Pelodiscus sinensis: one gene and its partner. The protein of the gene in region 1 binds, or shares a complex with, the protein of each later gene. Links are inferred from orthologs where the notes say so. Each region holds a gene or a part of one and is shown in the gene's direction. Other genes may lie near its edges.

Evidence for each region. The genes of interacting proteins can lie anywhere in the genome.
Region 2: ERC1 (region 1) and PPFIBP1 share a complex: the UniProt entries of both Homo sapiens proteins name them as parts of the cortical microtubule stabilization complex. The link is inferred for Pelodiscus sinensis from reciprocal best matches to the Homo sapiens genes ERC1 and PPFIBP1.

Annotation. Positions count from the first base shown.
Region 1 is NC_134711.1:108,149,011-108,156,892, forward strand, and holds the start of ERC1 (ELKS/Rab6-interacting/CAST family member 1), read left to right. Parts: upstream 1-4,946; 5' UTR 4,947-4,953; intron 4,954-5,233; coding exon of another isoform or gene 5,234-5,301; intron 5,302-7,882. Other genes in the region: DNA repair protein RAD52 homolog, read right to left, coding at 1-225, 820-903, 1,673-1,806, 2,674-2,870, 4,654-4,729, 4,828-4,946, 5,234-5,301. UniProt on the Homo sapiens protein: Regulatory subunit of the IKK complex. Probably recruits IkappaBalpha/NFKBIA to the complex. May be involved in the organization of the cytomatrix at the nerve terminals active zone (CAZ) which regulates neurotransmitter release.
Region 2 is NC_134711.1:120,150,134-120,157,650, forward strand, and holds the start of PPFIBP1 (liprin-beta-1), read left to right. Parts: upstream 1-4,505; 5' UTR 4,506-4,662; exon of another isoform or gene 4,663-4,666; intron 4,667-4,727; exon of another isoform or gene 4,728-5,031; intron 5,032-5,374; exon of another isoform or gene 5,375-5,859; intron 5,860-7,517. UniProt on the Homo sapiens protein: May regulate the disassembly of focal adhesions. Did not bind receptor-like tyrosine phosphatases type 2A.

The DNA of each region.
Region 1 (7,882 bases):
TGGAAGAGTGGCTGCTAGGCCTGTGGCCAGGGGACTCATGCCATTGTGTAGCTCTCTCATGTGGTTTGTTAGGGTTTTTTGTTTGCGGAGTCTTGCTGCGTGTTGTCATGTGATAGTGTCCAAGAGGTGTTGTAGGAGCCTGGATTGAGACAGTTGCTCTTTTGTGGCTCTCAGTATCACTAAGATCAGTGGTCTCCAGAGGAATGTCCCACAATTCAGGGTCATCTGGAACAATTCAGAGACAGAAAGAAGACAACATTGTGACATTACAGAGCAGTGTAGCCCTAGTGTCAGCCCTCACTTGATGGCCCCAGAGCAGTAAAACTATAATGGAGTTTGTCGATACAAGAACAAAGGGAACTAAAGTTAAAGTGTAAAAATAGTGCACAAGTGAAGCTAAGACTTCAGGGATTCTGTGTGGTTACTAGAGAGAGTAAGGTTGAATAAAGTGCAACTGCACTTGGCTTTCATGTACAGGCTAAAGCATACAGGTGCAGCCTCAGACACTTCTTGCTGACAAGAATGTGAGCTCACATGTATATACACCAAGACCAGAATCTCTCAACTTCACTGGCTACAATAAAAGGTTCCTATAGGCAGGTTCCCCTCTAGTTGTAGGGTGCTTTAAACACCTACTGATGGAAGGGTGGGGCCCTGAATCCATTCACACCTCTGTCCAGGTCTCCTCTCTTCCCCCTCTACAGGTTATTGTTGCCACTATTGCTCAAGTGAGAATTGGGTCTATGCAACTCCCCCCTCATTCCTAAATCCTGCCTTTGAGCTAACAGTCTGCCAGCATTCAGCTGCCACTTTTCTGACCTTCAAAGAACTCTTCTTCAGTGGTTGGTCCCTGGTGCGCTGCTGCTGGAGTGCTATGCTTCATCAGTGACTGAAGAGATGCTTCTAGGCACAGGTAAAGAAGAACTATTAGTGCCACAAAGGCAAAAGACACTACCTGATGCCCCTATGGGGGAAGGAATTCAGGTAATTTCAGAAAGATACTAACTGTCCTACATCCACTTCTTGCCACTCACTAGAAATGGGGGTGTGGAGGGCAAGACACGAAATGATATCTGGTAAGGCCTACTATGCGCAATGAAAATATCCAAAAATTTCTTGAACTGTAAGCAGAGGTTTGGTTTTCTCAATATTCCCAGTTGGTACTCTATAGCAGCACTGGCTAAGCCTTTCCTAAGAGAACATAATGGCAATTTTGATCATGTCTTGTTTGAATCCACAGCCGTGACCTATAGGGAACAAGTATGACTTGAGATTTCTTTTTATAAGCTTTCTTCAGTCAAACAAGTGGTGGTAAAATTAGGCAGCTGAACAGTTTAACCTTGTAGGTCCTGACTCCAGCCTAACTCACGGGTAAGGGTGGGTTGTGACTACTCCAGCACCTTGGTCAGGGCTGTTGGTCAGGAACCAGAGAGGAAAAAAGCACACCCCTGATGGACATAAATTACACTGACAAGTGGCTGTGATCAATGCTATCCCTGCTTGGGCATAGTTTAATTATGCAAAGGGGAGAGGTGTCTCTCACTTGCATACTGTAGGTCCATGAGAGCCCTTACTGCAAAGCACCTGCTGTGGCAGACCTGTGCTGCTGTAATGTTTAATGTAGATATAGTCCCGGTTGTTAGACTAGCAGATTAACAGTGGCCTGCCCTACCCTGTTTGCTGATGGGATTGGCTACTGCCATCTGATGTTTTTTTTCCATTTGCTCCCGGAACTGCTGCTGAAGTTGCTTCTGCCGTAACTTGCGCTGGTAAGTGGCATCGCTCCCACAGGCTAAGATGCTACTTCTGCTCCAAGAAATAAACACACAGTCAGATGGCACTTCAGCTATAATTACACAGTAGGAAGGGGGAAGTTTATACCAATAGCATGCTAGGGAAAATCCAGCTATGATAGATGGTTCTTCTATCACACTTTCCAACCAAAGCTGCTCCCCGAACTCCCAACATGCTTTACAAGCATTATCTATTTACAACTTCAGGGTTGTCAGGGAGGCTTAAGTATTACCATTTCTAGCAAGCACAGGACTAGGACCTGTCCAAGTTTATACAGGAAATCTGTGGCTGAAACCCTGCTCTTGTGCCTGAACCATATACACAAACCTGACCCAAACTCGAGTAGCAGAGTATTTTGAATTACATATAAGACAACATTTATCACTTCTTGTTGCAGGCTCTGGAATGGGAGGAGCTCAAGCCAATGCAAATATTGCATATACAGTTATGTGAACTGACTATGACACCTGCTATGGTGCCCAAGCAGAAGTAGAGCGCTAACCACCTCACTCAAGAGTTACAGCCTTGGAACCTCATGGTTCTGTTCCTGCCTGATAAGGAGCTGCCTGACTCCTGTATTCTCTGGCTCAGAGCCACAGTACTGTGCACCTTATAAAGTAGCTCTTAGGACTGAATGCCTCCTAAAAGCTCCTGGAGGAATGTGGGGTATAATAGCTATGGATCAAATATAGGGTTGGGTATTGTCTGAATTAAAAGAACCAGCCTTCCACTTAACGTGGCTCATATATGCTCTGGTCACTAGAGTGATATGGAATTTTGGGAGTAAATGGAGGAATTTGTACATTTTAAGCACAAGGTGACCAGAACTGGGGAGGGGTGCTCATTTATAGTACAAAGTTAAACAGATTAAACACTCACCTGGAGCTATTTTGCTGCTCCTGTTCCGTTGTGCTTGAAGAAGCTGTCTCCTGGCCCTGTTTGTGTGGGGACACGCTCTCACAGTGCTGGGGTTGCCCTGTACTATGTTTCTGCAGACAGCTACTGTATCTTGCCTTCTCTATTGCAGGCTCAAAATCTTGCCTTTTTGCTTTTGTGAAATCCAACTCAGGAGGCAGCTAATACAGGAAAAAATTGTAATTCATTGACCAATTCTCCCCGCCCCATTAACTCTAAAGTCACAGACACTCAAAGCATCTTACAACAATATTTCATGTTTTGTGTCCCCCTCTCTAGCAGTTCTTAAACCAGTATCTGGGCCGCTTTTGTCCTTAAAGGATTGGTTTGGTTCTGTATTCTGAAAGGAGTTAGTGGTTGTTTGCAGACCACTATCATTGGCAGTGTTAGTGAATGTTTATTGGCTAGCCTCTATACCAACACACAATAGAATATTTAAATATAGAAGTAATAGAATCTGGACAATCCCACAACAGGGAGGTAGGTAGGTAAGGGAGTAAAAAAAAAAAAAATCACACTTTAAATTTATAGATGTGTACACAGACATGTGTTAGAGCTGGGCAGACCATTTTCTTCCCTTCAAATGCAGGAGTGGAATCATATATTCCACCCTTTAACTGAGCACATATTGAGGGAAGCTAGATAGAACAATATAAAGTGGTGTCAGAGGGATCTCTCTCACCCACATACAACTGGGGAGTTTGCAGTGTCCATATTAATTCCACAGGAAGCTGCAATACTGTGCTTCAGCCACCATTGGTACTGACTGAGATAATAAATCAGCACCTCCAAGCCCACCCACCTGATTCCAATATGGCATTCTCTATCTATCAGGTACTGATAGCTGCTCCTCCTGGATCCTTCCCTTAGGTCAGCACTCCCAGGGCTCTACATCTGCATATAAGACTCTCTGGTAAACTGGAACTAAAGTCTATGGCAAGCTGTTCTAATTTCTGTAGCATACTAGATATTCTGTGGTGGCTTCCAAATATATCAAAGTGGAGGGGTTTCATTATAGCAAATATGATAACGAATAGTCAGTACAGGAGACCAATGAAGTGTTTTTTATATTACATTCAGCACATTTTTCTTAGCCCCTAAATTTTCAGTTCTCTGTATGCTGAAGATTTCTGCAATGCAGTACTGTTAGAGGAGAGCTGAAACTTTCAACAGCTGTGCAGGGGGAAAAGTAGTGGCTGGCAGCACTTCTTTTAGACTAGAGCTCCCACTGTTGTTTACAAATAGTGAAAGCGGACTGGGGGCAGTTGCTGTGGGATGCTATCTGAAAATTTTCTAGTTTAAAAGAAGCTCTACTGTACATAGCACAGTACAATATTTCAAGTAACATGTTTTGATGTGGCACTGGAATTAGTTCATCCCTATCTATAATAGTATTTATTTAAACTATTACCAACAAGGGTGCAGCTGGACCCACTAGCAGTAAAGATACAGAATGGGCTGGTGCTCAGAAACTATAGTGATTGGAATGAGATGGGAATCTGACAAGAAGAGAGTAAACAAGACCCCTGGAAAGAGAAACAATGGGTTTAAGTTTCAGAATTGTATAATTTTGATGAGCTATTGGGAAAAATATTTTACAAAGAATAGTCAAATAACTAGCAGCCAAGGAAGATTGTGGAATCATTGCCACTAGACACATTCATGGTTTCCATCCCTTTCAAAACATGAATTGAACCAGTGACCTACCAATCATTCCAAATTGATGTAGTTTCCTTCTTTGAGTTACCAGCATAGTGGATAGGTAGAAAGCAGTAGATACAATATATCTAGACTTTAAGACTTGAGCCAGTCACACACTACATTCTTATAATCAAACTAGGGAAATACTGTCTAGATGATGTGGGTATACAACTAGGAACAAGGAGGTTCCTGGCAAACTAAATTACTCTGCTTTCCCCTTCTCCAAAGTCCCACATACTGCACCTGACGAGGAAGTTTATTCACTGATCGCAGGTAATCTTTGTCCAGGATGCAGTTCCCAAGAGCATTTCCAAAGCACCTGAGGGACAAGAGAGCCTGCCATGACTGAGAATTTCGTATTGTATTCTTATGCCATCTTTTGAAAATGAGCAAGAAATGTTCAGGTTCTCCACTTACTTTAGTGCCCTCTTTAGCCCATCTGTCACTGCTTCTTTCCTTGCCTTTTCTAGGGACAATGCCTTGGACTTCAGGCCCTCACTCACTCCATAACCCACGTCTTCATGGTATGACCCATCCTGAGAGGTGAGTTAAAAAAAATGAAGGAATCAATACTGGAACTTTTGCTTTTAGACAGCTGATTAAAATACTACATCTCTCGTTTGTGGACTATATGTATTAAGTGGCTTGGAATGTATTCTCTAGTAAGTTCAGCTTTCCAGGGGCCCATAGGATTGTCTGGTTTGACACAATACTATGGTGTGTTGCAGTTCAGCTCCACACACACAGTAATACTGTCATTCATGGTACTTAATCAACTAGCAGTTCACCAGCAGATGGAGCAAACAAAATCACATCCATTTACCTTGAGTTGGACTTTTACAAATGCACAAACTCCTACATAGAATTTGCCATTGTTGAGATCAACAAAATCTGGGGAGAAGAGGAAGGAGATGGAGTTACAACAGAGATCCAAACAGTGTATCTGTCAGGGATGGTGTAGACGGAGCTTGGTCCTGCCTTGAGGGCGGGGGGCTGGACTCGATGACCTCTCGAGGTCCCTTCCAGTCCTATTATTCTATGATTATGGGGTGAAATTTCTACCTCATGCTCATATTCCTAAGAAGCTTCAGAATTAAACCTGGTCTATACATAACATTTAGATCAAACTCATGTGCCAGGATAAACTTTCACTGCTGAGTCTTCCACATCAGCTACCATGCTTGATCCACCATTTATATTACAACCCACAACAAAAGTAGATCTTTGGCAACAAAATACCACACCAAGTATTGGACTTTCCACTTGAAGGGATATGGGGCCATACCTTCCTTCCTTGTCTCTTAGATACCAAGTGCCCTGAGGAAATGAAGTCAGCATTTGCATGCATGATCATGATGGCTCCAGCATGGATGAGGCAGTGCAGTGACGGAATGAGCCAAGCTTTTTGTGGGGGTGGGTGGGGAGGGGAGTCACTCCCTGCTCCCCCAGGTCTCTATCAATTCCTCCACTACCACCCCCCTTCCTCCTAACATTAAAGAGGTCCCTGTCTCCTGCAGCTGCTCTCCCTCCATTTCTCCATTGTTGGGACTGAAAATTCTAATTCCCTGAAGGAGCATGGGGTATGTTGTGCATTCACATAAACAGGAATTTTGGTTAACTCAAATGTGGATAAAAACAAACTTTATCTGTACAAAATATGATAGAAAAATAGGAAAATAAACTGCAGGGCATCCTAAAAAGCACCCTGATTGAACCGTGTACCATTCAACCAACTTGCTATCTTTGGCATGCTTGCTGCAAGTTGACAATCCCTGCCAGCTATAAAAAGAATATGATTTTATTAAACACCCGAGGAGCCATTTGGCCTGGGAAGAATTGGACATTACATTGGTGGAAGAGGGGCCAGAGAAGACAATTCTAGAGAATACTAAGTAATAGTCAACATGTACTTGCCAAGAACCAATCATTCCAAACCAATCTAGTTTCCTTCTTTGAAAGGGTTACCAGAATAGTAGATAGGTAGAAAGCAGTAGATACAATATCTGGACTTGACACAGTCACACATTACATTCTTATAATCAAACTAGGGAAATATTGTCTACTCTAGATGATATGGGTATACAAATAAATGAAAAAAAATCATATTAAGAGATAGTTATTATTTAGGGATGTAAACTATCATTTAAAAAGTTAACTGATTAAACACTGTTTCACATGGAGCAGTCCCCCACCTGCGATTGGTGGGTCCAGTCAGACTACTAGGTACAGGAAAGCATCACCCGGCAAGGTTACTGGGGACCCCGCCCCCTTACATCCCTTTTATTATTAGTAGTAGCAATAATATAATTGATGTCAAAGTGTGAGGACTGATCAAATGTGGATCTGAATAGGTCTTACGTCTAGTACGATCCAATATTTTAATCAATTATTTGGATAATGGAGTACAGAATATGTTTATAAAATTTTCAAATGACACCAAGCGGGGAAGGGCTGTAAGCATGCCTGTGGATAGGGATGTAAAATTCAGTTTAACCATTTAATTGGTTAAAAAGGGGCACGCTGGAGCAGCCTCCCTGCCATGGGCTGGGGCTCCTCCAGTGTGGCTGTTTACAACCCCTTGCAGGGCTGCAGGTGCCCAGCCCATGGGGGGCTGGAAAAAACAACTCTGTGTAGGGCTGCCAGCTCCCAGCCCCTTGTGAGGGCCTAGCGGTGCTGGAGCAGACCCTCCACCTAACACAGGTGGCGGGGGAGGAGCGGTTGCTCCCCAAGTAACCAGTTATCCATTAACATCCCTAATTGTGGACAGAATAAGAATTCAAAAAGACCTCACCAAATTGGAGAACTGATCTGAAATCAACAATGAAATTCAATAAATACACATATCAAAGTGATGCACTGAGGAAGGAAAAAAAATCAAATGCACAACTACAAACTGCAGTAGTATTGCAAAAAAAATCTGGGAGCTATAGCAGATCACAAATTGAGTAAGAGTCAAACATGATGCTGTTATAAAAGAAGGCAAATGTTATTCTAAGATGTATTCATGTAAAAGTTGAGCAGTAACTGTTCTGCTCTACCTGGCATTGGTGAGGCCACAGCTGCAGTACTGTGACCATGTTTTCAAGGCTTCATGCTTTCCAAAAGATGTGGACAGATTGGATAGACTCAAGAGGAGAGCAACAAAGTTGATAAAAAGTTTAGCGAACATGCTATGAAGACGGGCTGAAGGACTGGGCTTGTTTAATCTAGAGAAGACTGAGCAGAGACATAGTCTTCAAATACATAAAAGTCTTACAAAAATAATGGTGATCAATTGTTCTTCACAGTCTCCAAGAGTAGGACAAGAAATAATCTGTTTAGTTGTCAGAAAGGGAAATTTAGGAAAATCTTACTAACCATAAGGGTATTTTACCCAGGGAGATTGTGGAATCCCTGTAAATACAAGTTTTTAAGAACAAGGTTAGGTAAAAACCTCTCAGGGATGGTTCAGGTATATCTAATCCTGCCTCAA
Region 2 (7,517 bases), about 12 Mb from region 1:
GGGAAGTAGGTCCCTGCCTCCAACCTGCGAAAGAGTCCAGAGTTGTGGAGGATGCGGGCGTCGTGTGCTCGGCCGGACCAGCCCCCATAAATGTCCATAAAGCGGCCCCGGTGATCCACGAGGGCCTGCAGAACAATGGAGCAGTACCCCTTGCGGTTCATGAAATGGCCCGCTCGATGCAGGTGGCGTCCAGGCCTCCCCCGCAGTTGGGGAACCCGAGGGCAGCGAAGCCGGCCATGGTATCATCCACGTCGCGCAGGTGGATGACTCTGGGGAGCAGGACGTTGTTGATGGCGTGGACGACCTGCAGAAGGGTGCAGAGAAACACAAGGGTACACATCACATACGGCAGGGGTGAGTGTGCACTCCCTTGGGCCCCCCCCCTTGATTCCCTGTGTCCTCACACACACACACACACACACCAGGGCCCTCCCTCGCCCCATGCCCCCCCCCCCCCACCGGGCCTGTGCAAGGGAGGGACGGCCCAAACCCCTGGGCGACCCAGCCTGGAGTCTTGGCTGTCCCTGGGCCTGGAGTGCAGCACCCTCCCCCCACCCCACTCCCCCTGGGACTTACTTCCACGACGATCACTCTGACGGTTGATCTTCCCACCCCGAACTGCTGTGCCACCGAGTGGTAGCTGTCCGGTGTGGCCAACTTCCACAGCGTGATGGCGACCCTCTTCTTCACGGGGATGGGTGCCCGCAGCCAGGTGGCGGCTCTCTGGAGCGGGGGGGTGAGCCAGGTGCACAGCTTCATGAAGATCCGCTTTCTCATCCGGAAATTCCTGATTCATTGCTGGTCATCCCATAGTCCGAGGACCACCCGGTTCCACCAGTTGGTGCTGCTCTCCAAACTCCAGACGGGCCTCTCTACGGTGGGGTGCTGATGCGACAGGGTTGCCAGGGCAATAAAGTGATAGGGAATAGCCAGCATGGGTTTGTGAAGAACAAGTCATGCCAAACTAATCTGATAGCTTTCTTTGATAAGATAACGAGCCTTGTGGATAAGGGAGAAGCGGTGGATGTCATATACCTAGACTTTAGTAAGGCATTTGATACGGTCTCGCATGATATTCTTGTTGATAAACTAGGCAAAGATAACTTAGATAGGGCCACGATAAGGTGGGTGCATAATTGGCTGGATAACCGTAGTCAGAGAGTTGTTGTTAACGGTTCTAAATCCTGCTGGAAAGGGATAACAAGTGGAGTTCTGCAAGGGTCTGTTTTGGGACCCGTACTGTTCAATACAGGCAGTCCCCGGGTTACGTACAAGATAGGGACTGTAGGTTTGTTCTTAAGTTGAATTTGTATGTAAGTCGGAACTGGTACATATTGTAGGGGAAACTCTAGCCAAACATTTTTTTTAGTTTTGGATAGCATAGGGAAAGGTTAACTCCCCTCTAATGTTTGTTTTGCTGTCTGTTCCCCTGTTCAGAAGATTTCACATCTATTTCTGTCCCTGTGACAAACTCAGGACTAAAGGAGTAACTCATCAAATACCAAACAGCTCTGCACCATGCTTTGAGCTAATAGCTTTATTTCCACACACCACCCAGGGTTCTAGGAGGAGGGTCCTTTTTTTGCTAACACAATGAGGCCAGCACTTTGTTTGTGTTGGTGGAGTCTTTGTTTGCCCAGGGAGCCCAGCATGTATAGAGGGGAGGAGGAGCGGAGAGGCTGCTTTTGTCTGTTCGGCAGCCTGTTGCTCAGGGGAGGGGGCAGCCTGTTGCTGGCAGGGGGGTGGGTGGGGGGGCAGCGGGCGTGGGGAGGCACTTTTCCTCTGCCCGGCAGCTCTGCGGGACCCCAGTCAGAGCCGGCCCGAGGAGGAGGAGGATCCTAGGACCCAGGTGAGTGAGCCCCGGGAATGCTGCTGCGCATGTGCGGGAGTTGCCTCACCCCGTTCGTATCTAGGGATCCAACGTAAGTCGGATCCACGTAAGTCGGGGACTGCCTGTATCTTCATCAATGATGTAGATATTGGGATAGAGAGTACGCTTATTAAGTTTGCAGATGATACCAAACTGGGTGGGGTTGCGACTTCTTTGGAGGATAGGGACATAATTCAAAATGACCTTAGCAAGTTAGAGAAATGGTCAGAGGTAAACAGGATGAGGTTTAATAAAGAGAAATGCAAAGTGCTCCACTTAGGAAGGAACAATCAGTTCCATACATACAAGATGGGAAGCGACTGTCTAGGAAGGAGCATGGCAGAAAGGGATCTAGGGGTCATAGTGGACCACAAGTTGAATATGAGTCAAAAGTGTGATGCTGTTGCAAAAAAAGCAAATATGATTCTAGGTTGTATCAACAGGTGTGTTGGTAGCAAAACTCGTGAAGTCATTCTGCCGCTCTACTCTGCACTAGTTAGGCCTCAGCTGGAGTACTGTGTCCAGTTCTGGGCGCCACATTTCAAGAAAGATGTGGAGAAATTGGAAAGGGTACAGAGAAGAGCGACAAGAATGATTAAAGGTCTAGAGAACATGACCTATGAAGCCAGGCTTCATGAACTGGGCTTGTTTAGTTTGGAAAAAAGAAGATTAAGGGGGGACATGATAGCGGTTTTCAAATATCTAAAAGGGTGTCACAAGGAGGAAGGAGAAAATTTGTTCCTCTTGGTTTCTGAGGACAGGACAAGGAGTAATGGGCTTAAAGTGCAGCAGGGGAGGTTTAGATTGGACATTAGGAAAAAATTCCTAACTGTCAGGGTGGTCAAATATTGGAATAAATTGCCACGGGAGGTGGTGGAATCTCCCTCTCTGGAGATATTTAAGAACAGGTTAGATAGACATCTGTCAGGGATGGTGTAGACGGAGCTTGGTCCTGCCTTGAGGGCGGGGGGGGGCTGGACTCAATGACCTCTCAAGGTCCCTTCCAGTCCTATGATTCTATAATGGCTCATTTTTTTGCATGGAAGAGTGATAGAAATCACGGAGGCAAAGTGTGGACAAGTTACGTAGTGCAACAAAGATCATGTTTGGCATCCACAGTTGGCATCTTCTGATTCAGAAGAAGCTAGTTGGGGAACAAATTTAGATCTTCGCAGAAGGTGATCTACAGGAGTGGAGGGAGGTGGGATTGCTTACATAACGAATACTCAGTGTAATTAAGATAAAGGCCAACTTTAATGTTATTTTCTGGCTCCATTCAGGAACTATCAGTTCAAGAATACAAATTATTAATATCACATCACATAGCAGAGGCCAGTACCCACCATCTCCAGAAGTTAAACTTAAAAAACAATAAATGGTCTGGTAGCACTTTATAGACTAACAAAACATGTAGCTGGTACCATGAGCTTTTGTGGGCACAGCCCACTTCTTCAGATGACCTGAGTTTTGAGTTTAGGATGTGCAGACCCAAAATAAACATCTCCAGAGGCCATGTTACAAGAAGGACACTATACAAGCTATTATCCTTAAATGCTTGCTTTTTATTATTTTTATTTTAGTAGTAGTAATATTTTAAAGGTAGGAGCTTTGTAGTGGTTTGCATAGTTGTTAGACGATCCCAAACATAGTAAAAGCGATGACTTTACTGATAGTCCCTAAAAGAGGGGAATTGTGGATGCTCTTCCTGTTTGGCTCATTCAGAGTTCATTTTTTTAATTGTATCCTTTGGTATATATGGCTGTGACTATTTTCTTCCATTATTTGATCTGAGGAAGTGGGTCTGGCCCACGAAAGCTCATCATCTAATAAACCATCTTGTTAGTCTTTAAAGTGCTACATTGTCCTGCATTTTGCTTCAGAGTTGACTGTGTGTGCTGAGTTAGTGAGTATGGGTTACTCTGGATAAAGCCTGTATTGAAATCCAAATGCTTGGAGCATGTTTTCTAATTACGAGGGAGCCAAACTCCGGAGATGTTTGTGTGCAAGAGGTTTAGAGAATGCAGCGCTGGGTTCCTGTTTTCCTCCCTACTCTGTTGCAGGCAGCTTTCCGCGGGGTGCCCACAGGTTGCTGGAGCCTAGCTGGGAACAATCCCGGGAGTATCAACAGAGGCGTTGCAGGGAGGAATCTTTGGGTGTGTGTCTGTGTGGGAGTTGCGAGACGTTGCTCTTCGGTGGGGGTGCAAGAGGCGTGTCCTAAGAAGTTGAAAGTTGGGGAAGGCGCTGGCCCTGATTTGGAGCGTGTGTCGATTCTGAACAGTCTGTGTAGGGAACACCCCCAGAGAGTGGGGCAGCCCCGGTGTCAATCACACTTGCAGTGTAACCGGGGAGGGGGGTTGTTTACACTTTCCTTTTGGGCTCGGAGGTCAGGACTGTCCCATGCAGAAGGTGCCCAGCATTGGCTTCCTGAGCGCTTCGTGAAACCACCGCCCCCTGCCCAGAGACACCAGGGAAGTCGCATCCACAGCCCCCCCCCCCCCCCGTCCCGATTTCCAGCAGGACTGGCGCTCCCCGCCTGGAACGCACACATGCTCTGCCTGCCCCTGAGTGACTGCTCCCGGCCCCAATGAGCTGGAGGGTGCCGGCTGCCATTCCCGCCCCTCCCCGAGCCTCTGTGGCCATTCCCCGCGGGGAGGGAGGTACCTGGAACCGGAGTGACGTCAGCTCCCAGCTCAGCCCCTGCTCGGATTCCTGCCCTGGTGCGAGAGGCAGGGAGCGAGCCCGGCGGGGAGGAGGGGGCGATCGAGGGTTTAACAAGGCTGCCCAGGGAGAAGGTACCGCGCTCGGCCTGGGGGAAGGGGCGGCAGAACTTTTGGGGAGGGACCTGGCTGCTTTCCACCCAGGTAGCTGGGTCGGATTGGACTTTGGTGGAAGTCAGGAAAAGAGGGTGGTATTGCAACACGGGGCTGTCTGCAGCTGCTGTTCCTGGGGCTCAGCTTCCCTCTGCAATTCCTGCTCCTCCTTCCAAAACAAAACCTGTCCCTTTCTCTTCTCTCTTGGCCTCTGGGTTTTTACTTGAAGCGCGGGGCTGCTCAGTAACGGATCGGGCAAAGCTCCCACGGAAGGGCGGCGAGACAGTACCTAATTCAGTCTGCCTTGCAGCATGACGGTGTTTGTGTCCGTGGGAAGGTTTCCTGTAGAAGGTTTGTTTGCAATAGTTGGAAGGATTTGTTTGGGGAGGAGGTAGCAGAGTGTGAAGGAAAATGCTGAGAGATTGCAGACCGAAAAAAAGTGGTGGGGGAGGCGATTGTATGCTTTGTAGTACATTGCAAATCTGGTGTTTGTAAGGATGTGTGTGTGTTTAAATGGTTTCTCTGTGGAGAAAGGGGGGAGGGAGGATTCCTTGAAAAAGAAAACCTGGTGCCTTCAGGTGCTATAAGTTTCTGGCTTCAGGCTTATACCATGCTATGTGGAAAAGAGAACAGGAAGCATTGGTTGGTTGTAATGTTGCTTCAAATAACATGCTTAATTTGTTGCAGTGTAGTGACTGAGACTAGGGTTCTCAAAAAAAATCATCTTCTAGAAGCTGATTGAGTTCACTAGCACTATGGGTTTTCTCATCCCCAAGAAAGGCTGTAGGTGCCTTTTATTTAATTAAAAATGTTGCACTCAGTAAGTTATTTGCATTCTGTGGGAGGCTGTGTGAAATTCAGCTGCATGTGTTAATTGCAAACCTGTCTCCTAAATCTAAGGGAAAGCAGCCTTTTGGGAAACATTTCAGTTGAGCAGCACAGATAATCCTGCTCGTCTCAGCCATTTCCGCTTTCCTCCTTAATTTTAACACAGGAACATTTTCTGTTGCTTTTAAAGTTCTGCTCTTTCTGGAAAGTGAAGGGCTCATGTGAACATAGACTTCTTTATTTCCCCTGATTGCTGTGGACTCCAGTTTCAACGGGCAAAGTTAGAAGGAGATCTGGCTAATGCTTATGCATTGCAATGAGACAAATCAATCTTGTGCCTACTAAAAAAAGGTAAAGAAGCAACTGTGTTTAAAACTTTAAAAGCCATATCTGCCTTGGTTACTTTAAACTGTATTTAGAGATTGTGTAGCCACTCTCTTGGAGAGAGCTGTCGACCTGTCTCCCCCCTCTTCCCCTTGCTGCAAAAGACATTGCCTGTTTCTTGATCTTTAGCTAGGGTTTGACAGAAATAATCTAGGGTGATGAGTCATGTTTCCAATGTTTTGCTTTCCTTAGTCCAAAGGAAGGTAACCCCCTTTCTTCCCACCTTGTAGCATCTCCATAAGGGAACAGGAATTGGCTTCGCTGTGAGTGAATGGTTAGCTGGCAGCTAGACTCATGGCACTAGAGTGGTGTGTATCAAATGGCATCCTCTCCAGGCCAGCCAATAGGGATGAAAACTAAGTGTGTGTAAGTGTGTGTGTGTGTGTGTGTAAACAGGTGATGACAAAATTTAGACTACTGGACTCTGCTAACTAGCCACTTACTAGGCTTGAAAAATGAAGCTGATTAGAAGAAGGTCTAAATTTAAACCTGTCATATTTCTGTTACTGTGTAATATAGTGCATTATAGCAAAAGGGTTGAATCTGTGTCTGGTTTGCCATACCGCGTGTACTGGGATGTATTCTTGAAAGTCACTAGCTACAAGCCATGGAGACATTCTGCTTCTAGGAAGATGGTAGGAGAAAGGTGTGCTTAAGTTCAAGCTCTTTCATAATTCATGGATTCAGTAGAACTCTTCCAAATACAACCATTAAAAAGCTAGGTGTGCCTTGGGTTAGCGATGTTTCCTTCTCTAAGGCCTGGTCTACACAGTCTTATATAACTATTTTGTTGTGCTCTTTGTCAGACTGTTTAAACCAGTGTAACCCTTAGTGTGGATGCAGCTATACCAGTATAGAAATTCCTTATACTGAAATAGCTTATTTACCTTCCCTAACATCAATAGTTCTGCTGGTATAACTGTGTTCATGTGAGGGGGATTGTATACTGTTGACTCTTAAATGAAAATGCTTGTCTATGCACAAGAGTAGTTAGTATTGCTTTAACTATGCCTGTGTAGCTAAAGTTTAGTTATCTTGAGAGCTTTCAGAGGCTTTGCTGGTTTGGTCTGGTTGCTTTGACCCCAAAAAGGATTTCAATAGTAAAATGTTTGAGTGGATTGTTGGAGAAGCAAAGTGGGTGAGGTAATATCTTTTATTAGGACAACTTCTGTTGGTGAGTTGGAGCAATAAAAGATATTACCTCACTCACTTTGATATCCTGGGTCTGATATCCTGGGTCCAGTATGGCTACAGCTACACTGCATAAGTTGTTCATTGATGCCATTTCAGTATATGCCACAGAGCTGAGCAAAACAAGTATCTGCATTCCTCAAACTGAGTCCTCAAAGGAAAAATGTTCTTCATGCTTGTGTGATCAAATGTCTGACAATAAAATGTCTTGGTGTGTCAAATCCAGATTTATTGCTTCTATTAAAGGCAAGAGTCATAGTTTAAGAATTAACATTTGTGAAGGACTTCTGACTTCTGGTCACATTGTAAGTGTAGATTTCAGTAAAATCAGTACCATGGTAATCAGAGAGGCATCATTGAAGCACTGGGTTGGGAACCAGGAGATATGGGTTCTGTTTTGCTTTGATGCTGACTTGATTTATTAAGTCTTCTAA